2 linked regions of the Drosophila melanogaster genome follow. The protein of the gene in region 1 interacts with the protein of each later gene in a pairwise test. Each region holds a gene or a part of one and is shown in the gene's direction. Other genes may lie near its edges.

Region 1 (3,754 bases):
CCCATTGTCACGTACAATGGGAACCAGTACTGCGTGATTACCCGTGCCCCGGATCTGGATGTGGAGGCGATGCAGAAGCCGCTGGACTATGGCCACGCAGCCGGAGGAGCCACCAACATAATAGTAATGTCGCCGATGCAACTGCTGCCCCCCCAGCAGCAGCAGCAGCAGCCGCAACAGCAACAGCAGCAGCAGTAAGCACCATCGAAGAGAAAGGCTAACTGACTGGCCAATCAGCTATAAATACGAATTGTAAATAAAGTCTTAAGCAGCCGAGAGCAACCCTAAGTATATGTTTAACAACACTACCCAGCAAAACTAAAAACTAAAAACAAAGAAAAAAACAAAGTTTGTAAATGTCAGGTTATAAAGCATAGATCCCCGTGTCAGCGATGTCAACTCAAAATCAAACGTAGTCTAAGCAACCTAACATATCCCCCCGCAGAACGTATATGGTACCCATCTACATGAGCAGCCACCACACTGAGATATATAGATATGCCACTTCGCCGTTTCGCAATTTCAGACCCTCCAGAGTAGTATCCCCACATAGACCCGTATGCAAACCGAACGTGTATGATATTGTATGTGTTTCTATGGCATTGTTTGTACATTAAGCTTATTACGTACTCCAAATACGTCTTCGACTAAAACGCAGCCTGGGAGGTAAACCAAATAAAATGAATTAATGGAAGCAAAACATAAGTAGCAGTAGTAGTGTCCATCAGCAAAGCTCCCCACACATCTCCCCACTCCATTCCAATGGCAAACCATGTAAAGATCAAGAGAAAATAAATTTAATTTAATTAAATAAACACTGGTATGTTTTACTGGTGTTTCGCTTTTCCTTTTCAAAGTGCATTGTTCACGACATTGTGTCAGAGTATTGAGCTCCTCTCAACTTTCAGCCATGTAATGTTACGTATACGCAGTGTCGGCCATACTGAGCATCATTCAAGTGACACTCACTTGCGGCCAAAAGTACGTTGAAGTTGAAGCCATTAAAGCACCCAATAATTGGCATCTGTTGTCGTTTATTATTCTTGGTCGGCCAACTTTGGCGGCATTCTGGCTTTTTAGTCCGAACGGACAGGCCAAAAGCGAAGTAAAAACCAAAACATTTGGTCAACGCTGAGCTCACGAAAATCAACTTTTCGTTCCAAAAGTGAAAAATGCCGCGATTTGGTTTGACCTTAGATGGAAACTCGTCTCTGCCGCTGCGCCGTCGACTTCGCTGCCAACGTCCACGCTGCACTGGCAGCAAATAAATTTTTGCCTCGATGCTGTTTGTGTTTGTTGTTAATAAGTCACTCGAAGAATTTGCAAAAGGGTATAATGTATTTTCAAAAATCTTGCGAGAGGCTAAAAACCAAAACCAACAAGTGTGTCATTTTCCAAACTGCCTGCAGTGAATGCAGCGCACTGTTTGCTTTCGAAGAAATCGAATATGGAAATATAATTAAATGCTGTATATTTCCAATTCGTAGAGTATCCAAAAGTTTATAAACACAGAAACTCTCGTTTTTACTCACTTCTCGAGTTATTTTTCGCAAGAATCGCAAATTAGTCTGGGGCCTGGTTGATCACCTGAGCAAACGAAACTGAACGCCTACGACAAATGACAACGCCGATGGCGACGCCAACATCTCAGCCATTTTATGTGCTCTCCGGCCTCCGACGGATTCTTTTTGTGTCAGTCGGTTTGCGGACCAGTCTCCGATCAGTCGAGTGGACCACCAATCCGGCGAAGATTGGGCGACCATGCTGAACGGAAAATTCTACACGGGCTTGCCGCCCAAAATGGTGGAGCGCCAGGCGGTGAAGGTGTGCAATCGCCAGGAGTCGCACTTCTTCTGGCCAGACGATTCCCGAGCGGATTCCGCGGTGGAAACCCGAGCAAAGAGGAGAAACAGCCAGCAGCTGGAGAGGCCTGTGGAAAGGATTACTTCCAATCAGAATGTATCCGACGAAGTGGACACACGGCGAATGTTTCACAAGGAGTTTGCCAGTTCTTCCATACAGTTCTATGATAATCTGCAGTCTAATCCTGGAAATAAACCTTCATTGGCAAGGGGTCTACGCAGAGAAATAACCCCAAAACTAACCGAAGTGAGACCGCAGGAATCGGATAACAAAGCTGAGGACACCAGCAGCCGTCGCCAGCAGGCTTACAGCTCCAAGATCCAGTTCTACGATTATGTAAACGAAGCAGATAACCTAACTCAAAATAACGCCAGGAGACCACAAATGGACTTGAATGACAAGCGCGAAGTGGAACTGAATTCCAAGAACAGTCCCAAGCTGCAGGTCAAAAGAAATGTGCGCAGTTTCAGCGTGGAACTGGAGCCCAAGGTCACCAAGAAACCCCTGAACGACAGTCCCGAGTGGCGGCGGCCACGCCCACTGCCCCTGCCCAAAAGGATACTGAAGCAAACGTCACAGGATCAGGACCCGTACGACCATCTGGAAAGTCGAGTCCGAAGATTGCAACTAACCCGAAGTCCCGGACTGCCCAAAAAGCATGTGACCTACAACGAGGAGGCTGCCGAGTACGCCTACTACGATGATCGGGTGGATCGCGATGATCGGGAGGATCGCGAGGATCGTGAGGAGCCCACCTACGAAACTCGCTACCGTCAGCAGCCAAATATGCCGACAGGAAGTCGCCAGCAGCAGCAGCAGCAGCAACATCAACGCTCTTTTATGGAAACTAGTCGGAGCAAGCCATTAAATAATAATAATAATTATCAGGCCAACGGCAATGGTAGGAAAATCTTTCCAAAAATGCCACAGACCCAATCCGGAGTGGGTAACACACACACTATCGACGAAGATCCCCCCGTGCCCTCTGACCCTCGCAAACACCTGCGCAGCAGCCTCTGCTTCAGCGGCGACGCTTTGATGGTGGGCGGTACGGCGTCGCAGTCGCCGCCCACTGCGCAGGCGCGTCGCAGCTCAGCGGGGCAGAGAGTGAGCGTGGGTCTGCCGGACTGAGGGCTCCAGTTCGCGTGTTCAGTGATTAGTGCAGCTACACAGTGAGAAATGCAAGTGCAAAAACATATAACTGAAGCGATGAAGAAGATCATACAAGAATATCTGCTTGACAATCATTAGGATGAAATAGTATTACAAATATTTCTCTATGTAGTAAGTCGACAGCAACAATCTGCATTGCTAATTGAAAGCCAACAGCGACTGCAACAGAAGCAGCAACAACATCTGCAGCACAACAGCCACATCAGCAGCAAGTTGATGCGACAGCAGCAGCTCAACCTTTTTTTAGTTTTTACTTTTACGATCCCATACAAACTCTGAATTCACCCACATGCGAATGAATGAGTCGGCTTTTTTGTTGTTTTCGAGCGGTTGAATATACATACATAAACAAACCTTGATCTTGACTAATTTGTCGGCGATGCTGTTGTTGTGCACCACGATCATGTATTAATTTAGCTTTTAAAGCCAACGCAGAAAAATCTATAATTATAATGATAGAGATATGCTAATAAACTAATACATATATAACCAAATAAATTTCGAATCGGGAAATATTCAATTAAGCCTTAAAAACCTACTATAGGCACAGAAAAATATACATGGGCACTTAATCAATTCGTTTGGTATTCAGTTTTCAAACTAATAATGAAAGAGAGTGAAGTTCAAGTTGTTATATATTTATATCGAGGTAATCGAAAGCAGGCGCACATTGAACTTGGAAAGGCTTGCCATGAATACAACGCAGCTATTCATTGTG
Region 2 (3,754 bases), on another chromosome or scaffold:
GTTCGCTCATTTTGCCACACCAGCATGTGGATCGACTGGGCGTAGTCTCGTAGCGTTACGAAATCTGTATGCGAGAGGAACTGATTGTACAGCACGCCTTCGGTGTAGGTGAAGCGATTTCGCTCTAATTCCCACAGCTTAATTTGATCAACGACTGTGGGTGGCAGGCAGGATTTAGAGTGAATGGCTGACTCGACCATGCGCATATTGGGATGCGCATACTGCTCCAGATACGAGACAATCTGCTCTGCCGTGATACCGCCACGCAACGCCTGGCGCACTGAATCGCGGGTTAGCACGCCCACGACGAGATTGGGAAAGCGGTAGAGAAGCTCCGTGAACAGACCTAACACGGCTACCTGGAGCGGAGAATCAGTGTAGGCATACACTCGGTAGTTCGTCTCCACCACAATGTAGCCACAGTCCTGAGTGGCCTCCTCATCCATGGCCACAGATGCAGTCGCAGCCGCCTCCTTGCTTGTCACATTCAGAGCCAAACGTGTGGGATAGAAGCGTCCCTCCTTACGCTTACGTTGGAAGACCAGTCCAAACTCCCGTAGATGCTGCAGGAATGTCAGCATCTGACTGTTCATGCCCTCGGAACTGTAATCCCTGCCCAGCGTTGAAAAACTGAGCTGGAACAACATGGACAAGCATTCCGGCAGGCTGATTCCTCTTTCTTCGCACGTGTCCAGGTACTGTAGCATAAAATGCCACACCTGAGCTCGCGTGTCCAGCAGCAGGAACTGAAAGCCCTGCCGGGTTATTGTGATACCGTCTCGTTCATCACGTTTCATGAGATTGGCGTGCAGCAGAATCCGAACGGCGTCCGGACTAATGGCCTCCGCATCGGTGCCATTGCGATTTCCGGTGCCGACCATGTAGTGCAACACGCAACGCCAGCGGGACATGGCGTATGTATCCAGAAAAGCAATGTCCCTGGGCTTCGAGTCCTTATCCAGCGTGTTGGTCATAGGCCAAGGTTTTCCGCCGCCCAGCAGCACCTGGCGTACGCTTTTCTTGAAGGTGGGCGAGAGCTCCCACGCAGAAAGGCCACCCGGAATGGCTGTGACCCGCCAGACGTTCAAAGCCGTCAGGCAGCTGGTTGCCTCGGCTTGCTCCCTGCAAAAGTAATGCATTGCAATGATATTGTTTATCCAATTGGATACAGTCATACTTGGCACAACGTTGGGCACCCCATGATGTGACCACCGCTTGTGGCACAGGCTGATCCACGAACAGTATCCTTATGATAAACTGCCGGGCTATCTCTGGAAGCTCCCGAAAAACGGCCAAACAAATGGGCGGATAGTTGTACAGCTTCTCCAGCGACTCTGGCGTTTGGCGGGTGCGCAGATACTCCTGAAAGTCCTTACACTCCAAGTTCGCAGGACCCTGCCCCAAGGGCGACAGGACGGCGTTTCCACTTCCCCCGGCAGCCGAATGCCGACCACTACCGGATTTCGTGTCGGCCATGACGATTCGAATGTCGAATTCGTAAACAAAATATTTTCATCCCGTTGTCATCGATAGCCGGTCTTTCGTGGGGGGACAATCGATAGTAATCATCAAGGGCGTTACGAAGGGGGTTTTCGCTGAGTTAAAAGTACATTTATTGTTAAAAAAAAATCAATTGATTTTTGATGCATAGATATATGTATTGAGTAGTAAATGTTATTATATTTAAGTTAATTTTTAAAAGAAGGCAGCTCCATTTTCCACACTCATGCTATCGAGCACAGGTAGAAATTGTGATGGGCCGCAAAACTTATCGATAACTCTTCAGCTGTTATTCTGCACACGTGCTGCGCGAAGTATTTTTGTATTGTTATTTGATTTTAAATATTTTCCTGACAAAAATGAGTGACGACGAGGAGCACTACGAACCAAAGGCACACAAGAAGCTGCTGCAGGCCATCGGCAGTCTGGGCAAGGTGCAGCACATCCAGAAGTCCACGCGCGACGAGCGGCAGTCGCTCCAGGATGAGTTCCAGCTGGTAAAAGGTGTTTCGTCAGCGGAAACGGATCATGCCCCCAGAGCCGTGGGTCTGAACGATCTGGTAGACATCCTACGCACCTCCACCAAGCACAGTCAGACGGGCAAGAAGCTCAAGAACATCCATGGCAGCAAAAAGGTGCTACAGAAGCCGCTGGAGAAACCAGCTGCGGATCGAATTAAACGGACCATTGGCTACGAGGGAGTTACCAAGAAACTCGGTCGTTGGGATGCTGTGGTGGCTCAACAGAGATCTGCGGAGACGCAGGTGAATGAATGCCAATGCTAACAGTGACATACACATATAATCTCCAAAACTTATTACAGATCTTCCCCCTACCATCTGAAACGGTTTACGTAAATACTGCGGCAAATGCCAGGCCTCTAAACACCCGGGTCAAGTCCAATCTTGCTCAAGAACTCGAGGCTAACAACCGTAAACTACGGGAACTGCGCAAAGCGCAAATTGGGGATACCACGGATGAAAAGGAGCTGGCCAAGCAAGAGCGGCTTTTACTACAAAAGAAGCTTACCAGGGACGAACTATTTGCCCGTCGCAAGGAGCTAGCTTACCTGAAGATGCGCGAGTCTCAAAAGTCAGCAAAGGCGCGCATGCAAAACAAAATCAAATCGAAAAAGTTCCACAAGCTGCAGAAGAGACAAAAAATGTTGGAGCAGATGAAGGAGTTCGAGTTGCTGCAGAAAACCGATCCAGAGGCGGCGCTGGAAAAGCTTAATGCCCTGGAAAAGAGTCGAGTGCAGGAGCGTGCCAGCCTGCGGCACAAGAACACCGGTACTTGGGCGAAGAATCTGCAGATACGGGCCAAGTACGACAAGGATGTGCGAAAGGATCTGGCCGAGCAGTTGGCTGTTAGCAGGGAACTGACCCAGAAAAAGCAGGTGTCAGACAGCGAAGATGAAACCACCAAGAAGAGAGTTTTACCCGAGGAGGAGGATAATGACTACGATCCCTTTAATCCTTGGACAAAAAGAAAAGCTACAGAGCAAACGGAAAATGGAAATGGTGAAAGTGAGGGTTCCAATTGGCGGCAATATTGGACAAAAAGGAATAAAAACGAAAAGTTACTGGAGGAGCATCGTAGGGATTTGGAAGGAGTCCAGGATAATGACGAGCAGGAGGAGAAAGAAACTATTCGGAAACCATTAATAGAAGTAAAACCTGCTAAGAAGAAACTTAAGAAATCGAAAGTTAAGATAGAAAATGGCTGGGAGGTGGAAGATATTTGCCCAACTGATCAGAAAGAAGCCAAGGCAAGCCCGAATTCAAAAGCCATTGATGACATTTTTGAGAAACACGAGGATCATATCAGAGCCAAACTAAATAAGAAAATGGAGAAATTGAGGGAACGGATAAACAAACTTAAAGAAGTTCCTGTCAAGGGAAAGAAGGCGAAAAAGAAGGACGTCTTGCAAAACCTAAAAAGTCTGGCTTTAAAAAAGACAAAGCAACAGATAGAGATTGACGAGCCCCTTAACTACGAGGAGGATAAAAATTCACAGAATAATATCCCTGCCCACGTTGAAGGTAACACAGAAAGCACGGAAATTCCAGCTGTGGATACCATAGATCCCAACAAGGTGACAACTTTGGTGTTTACCCAAAAGAAGGGCAACTCGGGAGGCTTTAACGATGCTCTAATAGACGATGAAGCAGCTGAATACGACGAGGAAGACGCCGCTGCTGAACGCCAGTTGACAATCAGTCAAGCCTTCGAGGATGATGACATTGTAGCTGAT

What was found. The genes of interacting proteins can lie anywhere in the genome.
Region 2: the proteins of CG15546 (region 1) and CG12301 interact in a two-hybrid assay, tested with the Drosophila melanogaster proteins (one large-scale study listed by BioGRID).

What each region holds. Positions count from the first base shown.
Region 1 is NT_033777.3:30,874,142-30,877,895, reverse strand, and holds CG15546 (uncharacterized protein), read left to right. Parts: upstream 1-1,709; 5' UTR 1,710-1,761; coding exon 1,762-2,994; 3' UTR 2,995-3,531; downstream 3,532-3,754.
Region 2 is NT_037436.4:15,579,031-15,582,784, forward strand, and holds the start of CG12301 (uncharacterized protein), read left to right. Parts: upstream 1-1,769; 5' UTR 1,770-1,859; coding exon 1,860-2,264; intron 2,265-2,323; coding exon 2,324-3,754. Other genes in the region: mrn (marionette), read right to left, coding at 1-1,122, 1,178-1,476.